Caenorhabditis elegans: one gene and its partners. The protein of the gene in region 1 purifies or fractionates together with the protein of each later gene. This does not show direct contact. Each region holds a gene or a part of one and is shown in the gene's direction. Other genes may lie near its edges.

The links.
Region 2: the proteins of F52E4.5 (region 1) and droe-4 fractionate together in Caenorhabditis elegans (co-fractionation; one large-scale study listed by BioGRID). This does not show direct contact.
Region 3: the proteins of F52E4.5 (region 1) and M18.3 fractionate together in Caenorhabditis elegans (co-fractionation; one large-scale study listed by BioGRID). This does not show direct contact.

Annotation. Positions count from the first base shown.
Region 1 is NC_003284.9:3,083,437-3,091,950, reverse strand, and holds F52E4.5 (Fucose-specific lectin), read left to right. Parts: upstream 1-4,605; 5' UTR 4,606-4,619; coding exon 4,620-4,722; intron 4,723-4,774; coding exon 4,775-4,875; intron 4,876-4,923; coding exon 4,924-5,076; intron 5,077-5,288; coding exon 5,289-5,483; intron 5,484-5,531; coding exon 5,532-5,969; 3' UTR 5,970-6,123; downstream 6,124-8,514. Other genes in the region: pccb-1 (Propionyl-CoA carboxylase beta chain, mitochondrial), read right to left, coding at 1-164, 218-1,226, 1,279-1,398, 1,458-1,514; twk-16 (Potassium channel domain-containing protein), read right to left, coding at 6,615-6,732, 6,778-6,886, 6,936-7,210, 7,271-7,422, 7,476-7,587, 7,646-7,736, 7,784-8,087, 8,135-8,277 and 1 more.
Region 2 is NC_003283.11:13,988,341-13,994,131, forward strand, and holds droe-4 (dietary restriction over expressed), read left to right. Parts: upstream 1-4,315; 5' UTR 4,316-4,421; coding exon 4,422-4,757; intron 4,758-4,823; coding exon 4,824-4,964; 3' UTR 4,965-5,136; downstream 5,137-5,791. Other genes in the region: ric-7 (CRAL-TRIO domain-containing protein), read right to left, coding at 1,322-1,516, 2,442-2,540.
Region 3 is NC_003282.8:12,101,650-12,109,048, forward strand, and holds M18.3 (Asparagine synthetase domain-containing protein), read left to right. Parts: upstream 1-4,208; 5' UTR 4,209-4,209; coding exon 4,210-4,626; intron 4,627-5,540; coding exon 5,541-5,709; intron 5,710-5,754; coding exon 5,755-5,888; intron 5,889-5,938; coding exon 5,939-6,387; intron 6,388-6,443; coding exon 6,444-6,702; 3' UTR 6,703-6,744; downstream 6,745-7,399. Other genes in the region: mon-2 (Monensin-resistant homolog 2), read left to right, coding at 37-1,188, 1,682-1,995, 2,946-3,130, 3,268-3,425, 3,475-3,771; col-129 (Nematode cuticle collagen N-terminal domain-containing protein), read right to left, coding at 7,123-7,399.

The DNA of each region.
Region 1 (8,514 bases):
GGCGTAGTTGATGTCTCCACGAAGATGCTTTGATGACATGACATCGTAAGCTCCTCCGAAGGCTTTGCGAGTAATGATGGTAATCTTTGGAACGGTGGCCTCGGCAAAAGCGTAGAGAAGTTTGGCTCCGTGACGGATGATACCTCCGTACTCTTGGGCAGTTCCTGAAAAGATATTTGATTTAATATTTGAAATACTTTCAATCGGGAAAATTTACCTGGCAAGAAACCGGGAACGTCAACCAAAGTGATGATTGGGATGTTGAAAGCATCGCAGAATCGGACGAAACGAGCTCCTTTCACGGAAGAGTTGATATCAAGGCATCCAGCAGCAAACTTTGGATTGTTTCCAACAATTCCGACAGTGCGTCCGTTCATTCTGGCGAATCCAATGACCAAGTTCTTGGCGTAGTCTGGCATAATCTCGAAGAAATCTCCCTCGTCGACAAGAGCGTGAACAACGTCCTTCATGTTGTAGGCAGCAGTGCTTTCCAATGGAACAACAGTATCCAAAGATGGAACAGCTCTGTCCCATGGATCCTCAGCAGCACGGATTGGAGCAGCATCAGTGTTGGAGAGTGGAAGATAGTTGAAAAGCTCTCTGAGGCTCATGAGCGCATCAACATCGTTGTCGAAAGCACCGTGAGCGACTCCAGAGGTGACAGTGTGAGTCTTAGCTCCTCCAAGTTCCTCCTGGGTGACCTCCTCGTTGGTAACAGCTTTGACAACATCTGGGCCAGTGATGAACAAATAGGAGGTATCACGAACCATGAAAGTGAAGTCGGTTAGAGCTGGCGAGTAGACGGCTCCTCCAGCACATGGTCCCATAATCATAGAGATTTGAGGAACGACACCAGAAGCCATCACGTTCTCTTGGAAGATATCGGCATACCCAGCAAGCGACTCAACTCCTTCCTGGATACGGGCACCTCCGGAGTCATTGAGTCCGATGACTGGGGCTCCGACAAGCATGGCCTCTCTCATGATCTTGACGATCTTTTTGGCGTGAATGGATGACAGAGATCCTCCGAAAACAGTGAAGTCTTGGGAGAAAACAAAGACGGTACGTCCGTTGATTTCTCCACGTCCAGTGACAACCGAATCTCCAGGATATTTCTCTTTCTGCATACCGAAGTCGTTGCAGGTGTGCTCGGCAAACATGTCATACTCCCTGAAGGTGTTTCTATCCAAAAGAAGATCAATGCGTTCGCGAGCTGTTAGCTTTCCCTGCAAAATTTTTTCATATAAGTAGGTTTTTTTTTTTGGAAAAATGTCTTACGCGAGCATGTTGAGCGTCGACGCGCTTCTTTCCACCTCCGAGAAGAGCTTTCTCTCTGGTCTCATCGATCTTATGGGCAACCTTGATGGTATGAGCGATCGAACTGGTGGCTCGAGTTGGCTGAAAAATATAGTTCATTATAACTTATTTCCTATACTTATTTCCTAATATAAACTCACATGAAGAACTCCGTTGAAAACTGGCAGCGCCAGTTGACGGGCAAATCGGGACAACATACCCAAAGCTCTCAAAAAGTGAAAAGTAAGAAACGTTTTTCAAATGTAGATAAGAAAAATAAAAAGAATTTGAGTAAGAAGAGAAAAAGGGAGGACAAAAACTGAGCGGTCAATGCTCGGAGAGAAGAAGGTCCCAACAAGTGTAGTGCAACTTTGCTGTGTGCGTGACATTTAGAAGATTGCAGCGCGCAGAAAGGGATGTGAGGAGAACAGGACGGGGAGAAACGCGCCCGGCAGCAGTGCACACCACGGTCACGGGGAAGAGAGATAGAGATGGACACGTCGGGGGCCAGCACGTAGGCAACAAAACAAAAAATAATAGTTTACCATCGTTTCAAGATTTTCACTTTAACGCCGGCAATACGGGTGAGGAGTTTTTGATGTGAACATTCAGAGTAATCGACTTGTTTGTCGATTGATAAGGTCACAACACGAGAATTATATCAGTGAATCGATAGATAATGATTATTCTTTGAAGTTGATTGTAGAAAACTAAAACGAATCGGTTATCAGAAATGTTTTCAAGAGATTCTGTTTCGTTTCTCAAATGGCAAGGGCATTTGTTTGGAGAAACCCATTGATTGCGGTAGAGCGCACTTACATACATTAGATCCCAAATCTATTTGCGCAGTGGTAAAGGGGGGGAGGACAAATGAGAAAAAAAGGCGACACAAGAGACCACCGCTCGAAGACTAACTGTGAAGGACAGTCGATATTGACGGACCATCGAAACAACATCAAAACAACATAATAACAACACAAAACTGTACGCCGTAGAGCAAGATCAAATCGGTTCTCAACGGAGCGTTTTTGTGCGTGCAGTGTCGCAAATTGAAAACAAACGTTGTAGACCACTTGTCACTTTTCTCTTACCTTCTCCGACTTCATTGAAACATGTCCTGCGAATCAAGGTTCTTCAAAAGAAAAAGTAGAGAGAATAACAAAAGTGATGTCTTTGGTTTTTCAAATTGAAAAGGAAAAAGTAAACGATAACACGATATAAGTAGAAACCTGATAGAAAATGTTTAAATGCATCGAAAGGATTTTTTAAAAATTCTCAAAACATTAGGCTCATTTTTGATAAAAAATGTGGCATTCTACATGCAAAATATGGTACATTTTCAAAACTTTAAAAATTCCCAAATCACTCCAAAGTAACATTTTCTAGAATTTCTCTCAGAAACTTTGTTGAAAATTTTTTTGCTCTTTGCACTAAAATAGTGTATGGAAACAAAAAATATCTGAGAGAAGACAAACTTTGGAAATAGTTTTGTAATCTTTATTGTTACAACATTAACTTATAAAATTTTTCCTCACTTTTGTTCACAATATAGATTTGTTCCATTATTTGAACTATGTTTATGTTTTGAAAAAAATCGGAGATTATAATAAAACCAACCAGAAAATTTTAGATTTTTTTAATGTTTTAGCAATCTGCCAAATAACAAAAAAGAGCTTTTGAGGAAACACAGAGCAATATTGCATGTTCTAACCCCTAAAATGTTTTACAACAAATAATTAAATCAAATTTAAAGTATAAAAATCGTAGAACTTTTTTTTTGGTCGACTTCCAAAGTTATGAGTGCAAAAACTGAGCGATTGCACGTGGTGTCAGGTTGTCCCATAACAGTTTGATCTACAAAAAATGCGGGAATTTTTTCCCCGAAAAATGTGACGTCAGCTCATTCTTAACCATGCGAGACCAGTTGAGAAGTCTGCGTCTAAATTCCCGCAGTTTTGGTAGATCACAACGAAATGGGACATTCTGACACCACGTGCGATTGTCACTTTTCGACAGTAAATGAAAACTTTAAAAAAATTTTGAAAACTTTTACTATGATATTCAAATATTTTGACACTATAGCGAAAAACCAACATAAGCCAAAGTTTTGTCTTTAGAACAAAACATTGAATTTAATTTCAGAGGAATTAGAAATTGGGATTCTCGTTCCAGATCCTTACTGCCTGGTTTCCAATTATGGTAATTGCGTATTTAGTCTAAATTGATTGAGCTTTAAAAAAACACTGTTTGACATAAATTTGTGTCTCAAAATCTATAAAACCTGCAATCTGTATATTCTTGAAAATGAATTTTTTTTTTCGAAAATTCAGAAGTCCGCAGCTTTGAAAATATCAGAGGATATCCATTTTGGTCACTGCCGAAATAAAGATTAGCTATGATTTAACAATGTGCTCGAATGTTTTATTTTCAGTACAATAACATAATTTATGCTGTATAACTGATGTTTTTTGGTAGCCTACAAGACATCAAACTGTTTAATTTTCAGATTTACCACTTTTAAAGTAGGTACTTCTACTTTTGATCAAAACTTCTTTGTATTTACAGTACACAGACAAAAGCAAATACCAAATTCCCCGTAAATGTTCGCAGCAAATACTACTGCTATTGACCAAATACGTCAAGTTCCATTTTGATTCACTTTCACCCTTCTTTGCAGTATTATGAATAAAGTTTTTTTTTGGACAATCGTGTTGTTGTTCACTGTGAGAATTACATAACAATATTTTCCGACAGTGTTCATTCTTTCCATGGAAATTTCATGAAGAATATTTGATTTCGCAATATTGTTTATTCTCCCAATTTTCCCACAATGAGTCACTGGCCACCTGGCAAACAACACGTATAAAACTGGACTTCCCCAATAGAAATACACCGCTCTCTAAGCCATTTTTGCCTCTCACCTTGCGCATTTATCGATTTTTGGATGTGTTTTCTTTTGAGTTGTTGAGAATATATTATTGAAACCTCACATAAAATATTATATGTCCAATTATGTTCTATAAATTTTTCATTTTATTCGGCAAAGAGTCGTTTCGTAATGTTTTGCGAATATGTTTTGCAACCAGTTTTCTAGAAATCTTCTAAGGACTTCTATGTCTAAATGTCTTTTTGAACCGTCAATTCTATAGAAGAACGAATTGAGTTCAACCTTTGGCCGTTTGCCCAGAACATCTTCCTTTTTCTCTTTTTACTTCCTGGTTTCCGACTTCACCTGCCGCGTTTATAAACTTTCTTCCGTTTTTGTTATATTCAGATGTTTGTACTAATTCTTTTTGATTTAAAATGTATGTTTTCAGTTGATCATGTCTGAGAAAATTGCTGAAGGTTTTGGAAACAACGGAGAGCTATGCGAATATCACTATTCGTTCGTTCAAGACGGAAAGTTGACTTTGGTGGGGCGCAAATGTGAGCATTTATATACATTTTTTTTCAAATTTAGAACAATTTTCTTGTTTAGACGTCGCTCAACCAAATCACAACTGGGGACATCGCGTGGCTTTTGCAGGAACTTACGTTCTGACTTTTGATAAGGAATCCAACAAATGGGAGAGACATGATGTGAGTTTGCCTTGTTTTCCTGGTCATTTCAGACCTAAACAATTTCAGTTCCCGGAGCTCGTAAGCGAAGAAAACTCGGAAGAAGTGTTGTTTGTTCGTGACAATCAGCTTTATCTTCTCGCTTTTGTCAATTTTGGAGCAATTGGATTCCAAAAGTTGTTCAGATGGGATAGTAATTCTTTCAATGAGGTTTTGTTAAATGTGAGTGATTCTGTGATTAGAATTTTGTTTCAAAATTAATTTAAAGTATTACTTCTGTAAGTTTTTTTTTTAGTTTAAAATTCGATATGGTACATATAAACCTAAAGTGTACGTATAGACCCATAGACTGTCAGCATATGAACAAGCTTTGGAAATTGACTTTTTTTCGAACCATCATCCTTTATTAGATATACACCACAATGTTTTTTCAGGCCCCAGAAACCAAAACCCTCACTGAGACTCAAAGATTTGAAGTTATCGCTGCTGCTGGAACTTCTTCAAATGGTGAAACTATTCTTCTTCTCAAAGACGACAATTGTCACATTCAAATCTATTCTCTCACTGTCAATGGAGCTTCTTCTACTGTCGAAAACATCTCGCAAATTCACTCTGATGACAACCATTTGGTAACGAAGATTGTTCAAGAATTTTATAATATTAAAAATTGTTTTCAGAGAGGATCTCCAGTAATTGCTGAGACTGTCAATGACAAAGTGCTCATTAGCTACGCTGTTCATGGATGTGGATTCAATTGGGAGAAAACTCGTTTCTTCGTTTTTGACTTGAAATCAAAAACAGCTCGTCATGTTGATATTGAAGGAGAGTACAGTTCTCTTCCCCAATACGGTTTCGTTGGTCCAAACTGCTCATTTGTTGACAAGAAGACCAATTCTTTCATTGTCGCTGGTGGCCGTGTTCAAAAAGGAATGACGGGAAGCGCTTTCTACGGAGCCGTTTGGGCTCTCAAAGGAAACATTTTTGACGATAAGTCTACTTTGGAGTGGGTCCAACTTCCTCAAACTGTCGAAGAGGGAGAGCATATTTTTGACGGTTCAACTCTTTACACTGTTAACAAAGCTGCAGTATCAAAAGTTCAACTTGATTCGATCTAAATTGTTTAATGTTTTAATGTATTTAAAATTATATTTTAACCTACTGTGATTTATGGGAATCTCTGAAATAATTTCTGCCAGTAATAAAATTGAAATAATTGGATTGGGAGTAAGTTTTATGTTTGACAATTGAATAAATATTCAGTACAGTTATTCTAATATTTATTTGGAATTGTAGTTTTGTCGGCTTTTACCTAAAATATCGATATTTAATACTGTATCATGCGCAGTAAACTTTATTCCATTTATTAGTTTGAGAAAGAATTCAAACTTGAATTGCCCCAAATATTCAAATATCCGAAGCTCTAAACTCCACGAGTTTATAGAATTACAAACATTTGGACAATTGGCGTTTTCGGCAGTCAGCAACTTTGATAATTGCTAAAATTACCACAGCAGTTAGGCAGTAGTTCAAAATATGCCCTCAAAAAAAAATTATAAATTCATAATTGGAACTCGAAATTTCTGAAATAAAACTTTTTCTGTTCTATTTGCAAAATTGTGTATCAACGGAATATATGTTCAACTAGTTTTTTCACATTGGTCTGAAAATCAAAATTTGTAAAAATGCAGTAATAATATGTATACATTATTTATTTAAACAAAATACAAAATCTGCGGCAATTTGTAAAACTCTTCGCAGGACTACGAATCTCTTCTGTGGCCCTCCCCAGTTAAAGAATGCCTGATCGGAGATGGGGAAACACTTCGTTCCGGTGAACAGTTTGATAAGTTCAAAACTGACTTCCTTCTCGGACCGTGCCTTAATTGGTTTTGTCATTGAAGTCCATCAATCTGATCAACTTACTTCCTATCTGATAACCGTTCCAATCTATCCCATTCCTCTTGATAAGTTTCATACAGTTTACGCGGGTCTCGACCATACATTTCTTTCTTTTCGCGGAATCGTTTCGGAACTGAAATTTGTTGATTTGATAATAAAACAATCATCGAATAATCAATAACCTTTTTCTTCCCTCTCATAATCTTCAACACAAAGACTGTGTTGTATAGTCATGTCTTCAAATGTTGCTGGTGGTTCAATAATGATAACACTTTCACATTTATGATCCTCAACTAGCTCAGTATTAATTTCAATTTGAAAAGTATCGAGATCATTAAACAACTTCTCCTGCGCCGATTGGTTCATAAACTCATTGGACAATGCCTGAAATATCGGCTTTTTGATATCCAATTCATATGCCGGCAATGGTAATGGGCTTCGAGGAGCAGGAGCATCCCTGAAAAAAAGAGAACACTCAAAATGAGAGATTCAGAAATATAAATTGGCTTTGCAGTACATTTTGAATATAAATGGGTGGTCTTCTCGTGGAGATGGTGGGCTCATTGGAGGATTCGATGGTCTTGTGGAACACGGTGAATGAATGATTGAACGAGGAGATGGCTCACGTGGTGGCTCATCGTTCAAATCCTCGGGCGGCTCCCGTCCTTCCTGAAAAATTACTTTTAAAATTTGTATGAGCAAAAAAAATTTGAAAAAAAAACCTGCATAGCAATTGTCCGCTCTACAACATTTTCCAAATCCAATGCATCAATCATTCCTGGTTCTACGCCACATTTCTTACCCACTGCATGAAGGAGGTCTCTGACTTTTAAACTGAAAATTTTAACATAATTCAACTAATGTGGTCTTTCAAAAATAAAAATAAAATTACGTTTTTCCACCAAACCAAATTCTTGTCTGCGCGGCATTCTTCATTTTCTTGCCCCAGTAGTGAAGTTTTTTCATATATTCAGAACCAATATCTGAAACAAAAAACGATGATAATTTTCACAAGTGTTTAAAAACTAACTGATAGCAATTGTTGTAATCGCCAATCCAATGCACACATACAGAAATGTTATTGGTAGCAGCTCAACCCGAATCGGAACCAGTTGCCCAAAATCTATCGCAGTTAAACACAAAAAATTAAAATAAAGTCCGTTGAAAAAGTCGAGTTCTCCATTTAACAATGGCAATAGTAATGCACCAACTGCCACGTATATTAAGAAGACACATAGAAGAGCTAACGATGTGACTTGGATTGAAGATTCTTTGTAAATTTTGCCGGCCAATGAAGCTTTTGACATTCGTCTCTGCTGCCTGTAGGCTTCTATCTAGAAATAGAACTTGGAATTTAAAAAAAAATTAAAAAACAAGTGACCTTGCGTCTCGAATCTCCTGCAAAATTGTTCAGGTACTGGCCAACATTTGCAATGATGATCATTGTAACTGGTATACCACAAATGCCATAAACGATACAAAACATTCTTCCCGTATAAGTTATTGGCGCAATTCTGTTGTACCCTTAAAACCAAATGGGTGCAAGTATATAAATCATGATGTACCTAATGTTGTGACAATGCCAAAACCATATAACGTTGCAGTTACAAAATTCCATTCGCTTCTTTCGTCTCTGAAATTTTTTTAACTTTTTCGTGCTTTAACATTGGACAAAAAACTTTTTTTTTTTGGAATTCTCATCAAACCAATTAACAAAAAAAGTATTATTGCATATTGTTAGAAAACGAGCACTTTAAGGTG
Region 2 (5,791 bases), on another chromosome or scaffold:
CTGTGCAAAATTCGCCTGATCATTCTTATGACGCTGTGAGACATCGTCACACTTGTTTTGTAAATGTTTTGAAAGATCCATGAAATCTAACAAAAACTGATCATTTTGCTCAATTGTGAGAGAAAAAAAAACATAATTTAATCTAATTCAAAAGTTGGTCATTTTCCAAGAACGCTTCAAATTTCTAAAAGCTCTCGCTTTGGAACGAATTTCAATAAAGTAAAGTATTCTTGCCTACGTAATAATTTATTCTTAGTATAAAACAATAAATCTTATGATAACAAAGAAAACGTTGTGTCATCACAATTCAAGAACAAAAGAAGTTCGAGATTATGCAGTACATCTGGTTGATTTTGATGAGCACAAAAAACAAGAAACTGCTTTTTCTGATTTGATGGCTACATCATAGGTGCACAAGAGTTCTATATTTTATGAATCAGCTTCATTTCGTTTTAAAAATTATCCTAGTGATTTCAGATCACAGATTTCTTAAATTTAAAAGTGATTTCATGTAATTTTTGGTGCAAATTTATAAATATTCAAAAGGGCAATATTGGTAAAAGGTTTTTAAATGCGGTCAGAATCGACTTTTCTCCTGCGTTGTCACCGGATAAGCGTCATAACCAACTCCCACATTTTTGCAAGATTTGAAAAAAAAAATTGGGAGGTTAGGGTGATGATGCTGAAGGTATACTTAGAAACGTATTGGAGGTGGAAAAACAAGCATCAGTATTTATGAAGCTGGTCTTTTCAGATATCATGGAAAAATAGCCAACGAAAAGACATTGCAATGACCGAGATTTCTGTTTAAAATAGGTATTTTTTGGAAAATTCTCAAAATGTTTGCATAATTCTCAACATATTCAAAACACGATGAATGAAGTTGGATAATTATGAAATTTAGTTTTTATCCTAAATTTGGCCATTACACATGGTGTCAGAGTGTCCCATTTCGGTTTGATCTACGTAGATCTACAAAAAAGCGGGAGTTGAGACGCAGACTTCTCAACTGATTTCGCATGGTTCAGAGCGTGCTAACGTTACTTTTTTTGGGAAAATTCCCTTGTAGATCAAATCGTAATGGGACAACCTGACACCACGTGCCGTTAGGGGGAATTTTGAGTCTTGGGAAGTAACACGAAATTTACTTGTCCCATACGGTAACATACGGTAACTTTCTTATTTCAACAGAGGCAAACTTGCAAATTAATCTAAAATATTATCAAGCTCTCAAAATCCTCTAAATTCGTCGGCGAACATCGGCTTAACCGCTCAAATTAGTCTGCGCGCATTTCAAATATTCCAAATTCCATATCTATACCTTTGGAGGTAAATCGTCATCTCCTCGGTCAACGAGAATCTTGAAAATGTCTGCAGGACTGTCCACATTGAACCAATCTTCACAGAAAAGTCCAGCAAGTCGTTCGTCATACGCTCTCTTCGCTTCGAGAACCATCAACACTTGGTAGGCTTTATGGTGATCTTCTTCAAGTCCGGATAACGAATCAGTTGATGCCTGAAACATTTGGAAAATGAATGGAATTATGGTGTCGATGTATGATTTGAAAGTAATCGTAAGATTGGTCAGATCATTGCAGATTTTATAAAGTTGCGTTTGCGTAGGCATAGTCCTTCAGCATCTAACATCACTGAACATCAATTTGAACTATGGCTTGTTTTCGTAGAAATTCATTCTTTTTCTAGGAATAATTAAACTATTGTTCTAAAAAAGAAAAAGTGAACTACCGGAAACAAAGAAGCCATGCTGAGCGTAGAAAATCGTCGGAAATCACGACATTAAAAAAGTTCAGTGCCAGCGACCTTTATTTCAGATTTTGAAAATTAAATCGACGAAAATCAATTTTTCCCCAACATTTTAGAAAACAATGTATACAAGAAAAAAAACAATGCATGCAAACAATGCAAACAATGTGTTTGTTTTATAAGAATTTTTTTGGCAGATTTGAGTGGAAATCAAAAATCTGAAAAGCCCGGTTTTGGGGAAATTCTACCCAAAATCTGAGAAAAATGAACTGAAAAACTTTCAGATTGAAATTTTATGGAAATTTTTTTAGCATGTTTAGTATGTTTCAATGGTATTTTTATCTATACTTCTACTTATTCATTTTTTAAATGTAATTTAACTAAACTATTCTATCAAAAGTTTATTAAAATGCCACCGGACATTAAATTAAACCAAATTTTTATAATTGAATTTCATGAAATTTGATAACTTTAGCATTTCCGGTAACCGGGATACATGACATTTCAAACTAAAAACTCAAAGAAAAAGTTGTCGTTCTTTGAAACAAGTCACACTTATAGTTTGTAGAAGAATCACACGAAAGACCAAATTTTCTAGTAAATTTTTTGTAAACGTGGGAAAATTGTAGTGATGTTGAGTAATGTAGTGTGGTCGAAGCATTTCTGTTGAAACTCACCAAATCATGCAACTTTTTCAGATCTTTTCGCATTGAAGACGGACTGTAGCCTGGCCATTTATTCATAAAATCGCATTCTTGGACTGCATTGTCGAATCGCTGGAAAATAAACATATATTAGTTTTAATCTCCAAAAAAAATAATTTCTGGACTCGGAGATTTTGTTTAGAAAGTAATCTACCAAATCGCGCGGGTTTATAAAATTTGCCTCCCATAAGAATAAGTCTACTTTAAGCCAGTTTTTGCGTGGTTTTTGTTTTGTTGTTCTCCTCTCATACATCGGATTTTACTGTAATCCTATAAAGTGATTCAATTTCCTATTCTCATATCGTAGACATGTTGATTTGAAAGGAAACTGTCTCGTTTGACGTATTATAATAATCATTATTATTATTCACAGGCATTATTCTTCCTTTTTCCAGCTAGTCGACAGTTTCTGAAACTGTGGACACTTGGGGTTTTGAGCTCAAAAATCACAAGACAGAATATTAAATACTTCCACTTTTTTCACAGGTCAGATCTATCTGCAACAAAATGTAGTCAGAATGATACCAGATATAGGGTCATTTGACAAGGGTCCTTCTTCCTTTATTGACGTCAATAATGAAATCAGAACAAGAAATTGGGTGAAAAGTGCAAAGGGCACAAGATGTACTTTTGCCATTTTTTTAAATTTCTTTTTGAGCATCTTCGTGACCATTCAATCATTTTCAGAAGCGTTCTTCACACGCAAATGTGCCACTTCCACACCTCTCAAAAATTTGAAATTTTCACGCTGAAAATTGGATTCCTCATTTTGTGTGGTTCCTGGACACTTTAAGATTCACTAGGATTAAATTGAGATTAACAGTGACGCCCGGGAGCTCGGACTTTTCGGTTTTTTTCGGATGGGAATGCCGACTAGAAAAGTTACATTCGTTGAAGTGAGACATATTTAAAAGTACAAAACGATTTGTTGATCTTCTATACTTTATCAAATGTCTCTTTAAAGCTACTGGCAAACATTCAAATGATCACCTCATAAGGCGTGGTAGATCAATCACTAAACGTGCAGATTGTCTTTAAAAAAATTTTAACTCCAAAATTTGGTCGTTCAAATAATGAGTCAACGTTGTGGCTCACAAAACAGAAGAGTTCAGAAATATTTTTGGTGCTGGTAGCGATGCGGATAACTAATTAGTAGAGGCTAACTGAAATCATTCACGTCAAGAGGCAAAAGAACACCGAATCGCTGAGTCAAAAAGAGTTCTGATCAACAGTAGGGAAGATCGCACTGTGTAGAATGATCTCAAATGGCGCCCTGTTTGGTACGGTGAAATATAGGGCTGTACAACCGGACGTCCGGTCGTCCGAACCGGACGCACATGCGTCCGGTTGGGGGTAGCTATCCACGACGGCCGACAATTTCCGAGTTTCGCCACTCACTATAAAACTGCTGATTAAGTATAGTGAGTGGCGAAACTCGGAAATTGTCGGCCGCCGTGGAAACCTACCCCAAAACCGGACGCAGTGCGTCCGGTGGTGTCAAAATCGGACGACCGGACGCCGATTTGTACAGCCCTAGTGAAATAAGTACACGTCAAAAACCCCAATTAGTGAATAAAGGGATATCCGTGTTATTTTTTTCCGATCTCCTCATTCTGAAAACCTTACTATCTATATGACATAACTTGGCATTCTTCCCTTGATCCTTATGTACTTTTAACTTAATCAAAACATGAGCTGACCATTTATCTTAACATTATCACCCGTATCTGTCACATGTTTCTAAAAAACACCTCCTGATCTTCAGCTTTTCTTTTCCACCTCCTTTTTCCTATTTTCCAGCTCTGTTCAAAGCCCGCCTTTCGTTACTAAAAAACTGACTCCGCCCATTTCAGCTTCATCATATAAACAGAGTTGGCAGTAGGGCTAATCACTACTTCGAGTCACTCGGACATCTGCCGATCTCTTTTTTTCGATCTCACTGAAACGGTCGACATGTTGAACACTCCAACTGTTATTCTCATCTCTTCACTCGTCCTGGCCTCGGGTTACAGTGTTCGTTCAACTGCTAAGAACACCGTTCAAGATGCTCACGATCAACTCACAAAGAGCATTCGGTGCTGGGAGCCGATTGATGTCAACAATCCATCAAAAGGATACACGATGAGCGAGCCGATCTACGAGTTGTGTAGCTACATGCCAGACCCAAAGGACTACAACAAGTACTACGTCAATGGAGTTCAAATGGATTCCGATGATTACACCAACATCTTGGCCATGTACGGAAATCCAATCCCAGGACACGCTGTGATCAACGTTTGTCTACAAGAGGTAGGTTCAATATTATCAGGCTTAATATAATTGGAGGAATCGGTTTCTTATATAAAATCACTTCAGGCATTCCAATTCCACGCTGCAAACCATCCATCTCAGGTCAGCCTACGTTGTTTGTGCAAAAGAGACGGTTGCAATCTACCAAAAGGATTTACAACCTTCCTCGATTTCAATAAGCTCCCGATGCCAGAAGTCTTCTACTAATTCCTGAATCCTTTCGTCCAATAATATGCTATTCGTCGGGATGTCGCCAGTCTTCTTTTCCTATAATCCCCATTTTTGAATAATTCCTGATTTTCTTCTTCCTTGAACCCGTGATAATGACCATTTCTGATAATTGAACAAACGAACTGAATAAAGATGAGAAACGTTGCAGTATTCTGAGTTGTTCCATAATCCCAGAATCTTCAAATGATCGATTGCTTACGAATATTTGAAAGAAAAAGTGAACAAAGACTATGGTATACATACTCTCCCAACTATAAGTTAGCCGACTATTTTCAGATATCATGAAGAGGCTCCTTCGACGTAGGTAAATCTTCTGATTATACCCATTCATCTTGATTGTATAAATGCCGGATTAACTGACATCCATTATTGCTTTCCATTCTTAATCCGATTAGATTATTCCATTTGTAGATCCACCAAAAAATGAAATATATGTGTGACGTATAGAGACCAAAGAAGCTATTCATTATTCTAGATCATTCCAACTGTCTAACTTTGGTTTTCAAACTTTTAAACAGTAAATAAATGAGCCCTGAAGAGTTGATCGCCGTGCGCGTCCAACATCACCCATACAACTCATAAAGTATTCTTCGTGTGAGGTCTTGTTTACGTCACGGGCTCTTCTTGCCAAAAAGCGAAAAGCTAAAAACGAAGAACATACAACGCAACATAGGTTATTCTGCAAAATTAATGAGATCTTGCTGATGAGAGTAATCGAACACAAATTCTTCGATGCATCTGAATGATCAATCTGGCAATGAGCAATGGATACACATAAATTATTTCCCCTGCAAAACTAGTGG
Region 3 (7,399 bases), on another chromosome or scaffold:
TTCAAGTTTTACGATAATTAATCCTAATATTTTCAGTGGACGATTTCCGACTTCATTTACCGAAAAATGGAATCCGTTGGAAACGATGCTTCCGAAGCTGTGTGGATGGTACTGTACACGTGCCTCTCCGAATCATGTGTAGACTCTCGCTTTGCTGTACGAAAATCAGCGTGTCAAACTCTTCTACAAACAGTCACAGCACATGGACATGCACTTCGATCTGCTGCATGGCATAGTGTTATATGGCAGATAATGATTCCATTACTTGACAAAGTTCGATCACAGACAAGATGTGCATCTACGGAAAAATCAAATGGAGAACTGATAATGCATCATTCGAGAGATACAGAACAGAAGCAATGGACGGAAACATGCATTCATACCATTTCTGCTATATCCAAAATTTTCAATTCTCAACGAAAATCTTTGCTCGCGTTGAATGACTTTGGTGCTGTTTGGGAAGCATTTCTAGGATATTTGGATTGGGCTGCGTGCTACGAAAATGCCGAACTATCACTATCAGCAATTCGAAGTTATCAGGAAGTTTTACTCGGAAAAATCTCATCACAGACGTTGAATGTAAATAGTCATGAAAAAAGCAATGGATCTGATTCTACTATTGATGCAATTACACCCGAGTTACCACAAGCCCAATGGGTTGAATCTTGGAAAGTTTGGCTGAGAATTTCAAGAGGATTGGCTAGACAAGGATGTGCTGCAATGGCAAATTCAGTGAATGCTGATTCGAAATCAATTTCTTCAACTCCAAGAATGAATTCATCATCGTCTTCGTTAGCATCGCTTGCTCCAGGAATCTATGTTCCCGGACCTTCTCATCTCACAGCGATTCTTCATGTGTTCCCTCCATTATTCGACAAAGTTGCCAAAAGTATTACTGTAGACGATTTAAAATATGAAAGTCTGCCAGCAGTACTGGAAAGTATGATGAATGTACCCATTCCATCAGAACAAGCACCATTTGTACTTCCATCAGCTACTACACATCTGACACCGACACAGGAAGCTCTTTTGGAAGCTGTTAAAATTGTATTTGTTGAATGTACACTATCAGGAACATCTCTGCGAGCCGCTATTCCGGATCAAATACGACTTTTGCTGAAATTTGCAAGTATGGCAACACAACGAATTTCTCCGAATAAAGTTGCGCCTGGTGGACAGAAGAGCTATGTAAGTGTTTTTTATTGAAGGAATATTGCTCGTATGGACTCAAAATGTGCACGAATTTCGAAAAAGGTGCTGATCAAAAACAATTATGACAGGTCAAAATTTCAAAAAAAAAACGAAATTTCGCAAAAATCGTACATATTTTATTAGTTGATCTCGCGTTAATTTACATGCTTGTCAAAAAATTTCAATTTTAGACAAATCGATAGACGGAATATTTTTGTTTTTTCGCTGGGAAAATCGAAAAATCGAAAAAAAAATCTTTATTAAGTAACCACAGTTGGTACCAAAAACATTCAATTTTTATCGTATTACGGTTATGCGAAAGAAAAAAAATAAGAAAAATATAAATTTCTTTGAAAAATAAGATTTTAGCAGAATTTGGCTTTTTTCGAAATTTTGAGAAATATTATTTTTAAATTCGCCCTTCTGAGACCATGTTGGGTATAACAAAGCAAAGAATTATTTAATTTGAATAAATAATTTAAATTTTCAGAGAGACTACGCCCTGACTACAATTGTTCCATTTTCCGAATATTCTCTCCGAATTGCAATCGAATTCTTTACTTCAACATCACAGAATCCAGAAGTTGCCAACTCGCTCATTGCTATTGATATCATAAAATTCCTCGGAGAACCACTTTACATGAAGTACACTTGTATCTCTGCAAGTACTTGGAAACTTGCTGCAACTTCTCTGATGTCTGTCTTGAGAACATCCATTCCATATGCTCGTCAGAATCCAGAAGTTTTTCGAGGTTTATGGTCTGCAATTTGTGATACTATGGAAAGATGGCTTTTTACTCCAAAGTAAGTTATTTTAGATTTGATTTTGGAAATTTTCAACAAAAAAAGTCTCATGGGGAAAATTAGTATAGGTGTAATAGAAGGCTTCTTCAGTATTAATTCGAAAGAAACATTTAAATAACTTTTCTTTCAAATGCTTGATTTTCTGAACTATCGAAAAAATTCTGTTTCAAAAATATACATACTAATTTTAGATTAAAGCTTTTTCGATGACTTTCAGATAAATTAAGAACATTTAGATACATTTTCCAAGTCTCATATTTCGAAAAAAAAAATCAAAACATCAAAATTTACAAACTAATTCAAATTTTAAAAAAATTGAGAATGACTACAATTCAAAAAAAAACAAAAAAAAATTGATTTTTCAAAGGTACACATACTGTATTTTTGAGGGAAAAATCGCAAAAGCTCGCAATATTTTTTTTGCTGTTTGAGACTCGAAAAACCAGCATTTTTAGTTTAAAAAAAAATAATTTTAGAAGTATTTCTATATTTTTTCTACAGCTGTATTTCGTTCCAAACCCGGCGTTGTTTGCCTTTAAAATTTATGTTTCACTTGAATAGAATTTTTTTTAAATCGTGAGCTACAGTAATCCTTTAAGACGAATAGTCTCTTGTATTTGCAAAAACTGGTCGTGTCAAGACCAGGTACCGTAGTTTTTGGGCGAAATTGCTAAATGTTGAATATGGATCAATAGTTTCAATCGAAAATATTCTTCAATTTTTTCGGTTTTTCGAATTTTTTTCAGAGAAATTCAAAACATCGATTGTTAGAAATTTGAAAAAAAAACACTTGTGTTGAAAAATGTACGAAAAAAAGAAAACTATATATTTTTATTGAAAATATGTAATTTTCGTTATGGAAATTTTTAAATTTTTCACTCTTTATATAGCTTAAATAGAAATGCAATTAATTTAAAATTCTAATCTTTGATTTTTCGCTGCGGTTCTAGCAAGTCAACGAGACTGGCAGCAGACGAAAGAAAACGTGATGAACTAATGGAATGTCAGGCAATTGAAATAATTCGAAGTGAAATGCTCGCATATGCATCCCGTTTACCACAAGAAGATGTTCAACGGCTGATTGCACTACTTCATCGTGGCTCCATTTCACAAATCGATTCTACAGATGTTCTTGGTAAGTGCTCGAGAGAAATCGTCTTCTTTTTACTTCTAACACTTCTCACAAAACTAGTTGGTGTTGGTATTCCTTTCCACATTTCTCCATTCTGATTGCATGTTTTCGGTGTACTCGGTAACAACCCTCGAATTCAGCTTCAGACTCGCATACTCAACGAAATGAGCTGGCAAAGGCCTGTTTTGATGCTCTATTGATGTCATCTGATGGAGCACATACAAATACTGAAGAAGACGAAGGAAGAGGAATTCTTGGAAATGTTGCTGTGACAAGTCTTTTACAAAGATGCACACAGGTAGGATCAAAAATAGGTCCGATAAAGACACAAACTACTCTGATTTTAGGTTATGTCTGATTTCTGCAAAGATTGGTCTGCTGCTGGAGATCTTCGTTTACCTAGATCCAGAATACTAGAAATCATATCTGCACTTCAAGCTGTTGACTCACTAATTGCACGACTTGCAAGAGATCCAAAAATGACTGAACTCTACTCGCACTTAGTTTCACTATTTCCATCGGTTGTTGATGTGATGCCTTGCTGCCATGCTGATCCTCAACTGGAACATCAACTGATCAAGACAATCAAATCATATCAAACACTCTTCCTTCTTCAAAATATTCCACAAGCCACCGTGGAATAGCCACGTCACCCTCCAGTAGCCATATTTATTTTATTTATTGGTTCCAGTTTCACTCTGTCTTCATTTAGCATATGGGTTATTAAATTATCGACTATCGATCGACACACAGTTGCCTTTATCCTATTTTTATTCATATTCTTTTTTTTTGCTTCAAAATCTTGTATAGTTTCGAGTACTAGTACCCTCAGAATAACGAGTTCATTTTTTTCTGTGATTCAACGCAAAAACACTTCCCGCTTCTTTTTTTTGATGATGATTTACTTCAATCGATATCCCGGACTATTATGTTGTGAGATAGTGTCTTTTTCATTCTTTGTAGTAATAAAACTATCCAATTTTAAATGCAATGACTTTGAAACTATTTTTTTTTTCTGTCAATATTCTGAGATTTCTTATTGCCAGTTATTATGAAATTTGGAAAAAGAACTGAAATTCAGAATGGGCATTGATTACAATCGATGGTGGCATTTAAAGGATGAAACATTGGGCGAGGAATTAAAAGGATATATCAAAATGATTGAAGAAGATTATCTTGTTTATTCTGGAACCACCTCACAACTTCATGTTTCAAAACTCTCAAATGGATCAGTTAATAGTATTGTTAATGAAATTCTGGAGCAACAAGGATCCTGGAGCATTATTTATTATAATCAGAAATTGAAAAAACTTTTCATTGGAAGAGATGTTTTTGGAAGACAATCTTTGGTTTTTAATTTCGAATCGATGATTTTTGGATGTAGAACAAAGCCAGAAACATCTGGGAAATGGATTGAAATTCCATTCGGACAAGTGACTGTTTTTAGTCTTGATTCAACTGATCCAGTTATTTATTCATATCTTGACGAGTATCCAGAGGTTTGTGCAATTTTATATGAAGTACCGCCAGTGGAGAATTTGCCTGAATATTCTTTTTTAAAAAACCGAAAATTTTCCGATGAACTGCTGAAATTCGGAAAATTTTCAGAATTCGTAAAGTGTTGAAATGTCCGAATAGAAACTTTTTAAAAAATTCAAATTTCAAGCAAGAATTGGTGAATTCTCGTTTTCTTCATTATAATTTCGGATGTGTCGGTAAAAAAGTGGTTTTCTACGATTTTTGAATTCTAATCATAGTATGGTTTTTTTTTCAAACATTCTATTATGAAAAACCTGAGAATGCATATTGCGCAACATATTTGACGCGCAAAATATTTTGTTGCGAAAACTACAGTAATTATTTAAATGACTACTGTAGAGCTTGTGTCGATTTACGGGGCTCGATTTTCGAAATGACAAAAATACTTTATTTATCGATTGAATATCAAAATTCAGCAAAAAATTAGAAAATCCTACGAAGAAACGAAGGAAAATTTTTCGAAAATTGAAAATCACTGTCGATATTCGAAAAAAAAATCATATCGAATTTCAAGCCCGTAAATCACCACAAGCTCTACAGTAGTCATTTAAATAATTGATGTAGTTTTCGCTTCGAGATATTTTGCGCGTCAAAATTTTTTCGCAATAAATACACATTCTCAGAATTTTGTGTTCCCGTAATAGGAGTTCAAACCTGCCACAATGCTCGAAATTCTTCAAAACGTCCAAATTTAATACAAATTACCAAAACATTGATATTTATACAAAATCCCCACGGACGATATTCTACCTAATACAAATAAAAATATAATTAATTAGTTGAAAAAACAATTCCATATTTTTAAAAGTTTTACTATATTTGATGCTTAGGCATTTATTACTTATTTCTGACAATAAATGCTATATCATTACAGAATGTATTGGATGGCTACTTTTCTGGGTCGGATATCTCTCGAATTGTGGTCAACAAGAAACATGGATTATTGAATGTTAGTAGATCAACTGGAGGAGAAATTGACTCATTTAATACCAAAGATCTCTTTCAAAAAGTTATCGATGCGACTAAGATTCTATTGAAAAATTGTTTGTTTTTTCTAATGAAATCGCTTTTATAACATCTAACTTTAGATCATGAAAGCCACGTGGCAGTATGCTTGTCTGGAGGTGTCGATTCTACATTTGTTGCTCATGTTGTACATTCAAGTGTTCCAGAGAATATGCAAATTGATCTAATTAATGTGGCATTTGGTAATAGTGAGAAAGTGAGTTTTTATTTTAATTTAATATCGAATAATAAATCTATATTTTATAGGAATGTGAACAAGCACCTGATCGTAAACGTGCCAGAAAGGCGCTGGAATCATTTCGAACTGCATACCCAACTCGCCAATTTCGCCTCATTCTTGTCAACGTTGATAGCCAAACCCTCGAAGTGAATCGCAAAGAATCTATCTCAGATGCAGCTCAACCAGCGAGTTCAGTACTTGATGACTCACTGTCTTGTGTTCTGTGGTTTGCTGTCAGAGCCGAAGGAGTTGATAGTGAGAATCAACAATCAGTGAGGTCACCTGCAACTACATGCCTTCTGGGATCAGGAGCAGATGAACTTCTTGCCGGATACGCAAGGCATCGAACTCGATTTGAGAAGGAACAAATTCCAGAAAATGTAGCGGAAGAATGTGAAAATGAATTGCGAAGGCTGGGATCGAGAAATGGAGGAAGAGATGCTAGAGTTGCTGCTCAACTTGGGAAGACCATTTTGTAAGTTTTCAAAATCTCCTAATAAAAAAAATAATATGATTTTTGTTATATTTCAGATCTCCACTTCTCGAAGATACCGTAGTCACTTGGCTCAACGCACTTCCAGTCGATTCCAAATGGGATCTATCATTGCCACGTGGAGTTGGAGAGAAACAATTGCTCCGAGAGACAGTGAAAATGTTGGGATCCCCATATGATGCTCCGAAACAGGCAATGCAATTTGGATCGAGAATGGCAAAAATGAGCAACGCTGGTGATAATTCTATCAAAGGAAGTGATAAATCTCCGCATTTATTGAAAACTGATGTGAATTGATGTTTGAATGATTACTTGTTGAAAAATAAATTGATAATTTGGGTACTGTTAATAATAACTTTCTTCCACATGATAAAGAGGATGTAATTTCAGCAGAAATGTAGATTTTTCCTTTTTTAAGTGATCGAAAAAGGCGAAAACGGTGTTTAAGTTTTTCAAGGTAACTTTGCAAATAATTAGTTTTTTCGCTTCCAAAACTCGTAGACTCTTGGATTAAATTTAATCAAACAGAACACTACATTATTTCATACCTTGTATTTGAATGCGCCTCATTTCAAGTCGTTTCAGAATATATTCAAGAAAATTTCCCCTTCAAGTATAAATTTGTAGGTTTCTGTATTGATGTTACGAATTTCTTGTAAATATTGGAAAACATGTTAAATTGAATGCAATCTATGTTTATTACTGAAAAGGAATGATTTAAGCCTTTTGGACGGCACGATGTCTCTTGGCAACGGCACGGTGCTTGGCAGCAACAACACGACGAGCCTTGGATCTTCTGGCGGCAACTGCCTTTCTACGGGAAACCGAACGATGTCTAGCGGCGACGTGACGGTTGCGAGCAACAGCGGCTTGAGCACGAACAACTGAGGAACGGGATGGGCATGGGCAGTAGGCAGCATCACCTCCTGGTTGTCCAGCAGCTCCTGGAGTTCCTGGTGGTCCAGCGTTTCCTGGTTGTCCTGGGTGTCCGTCT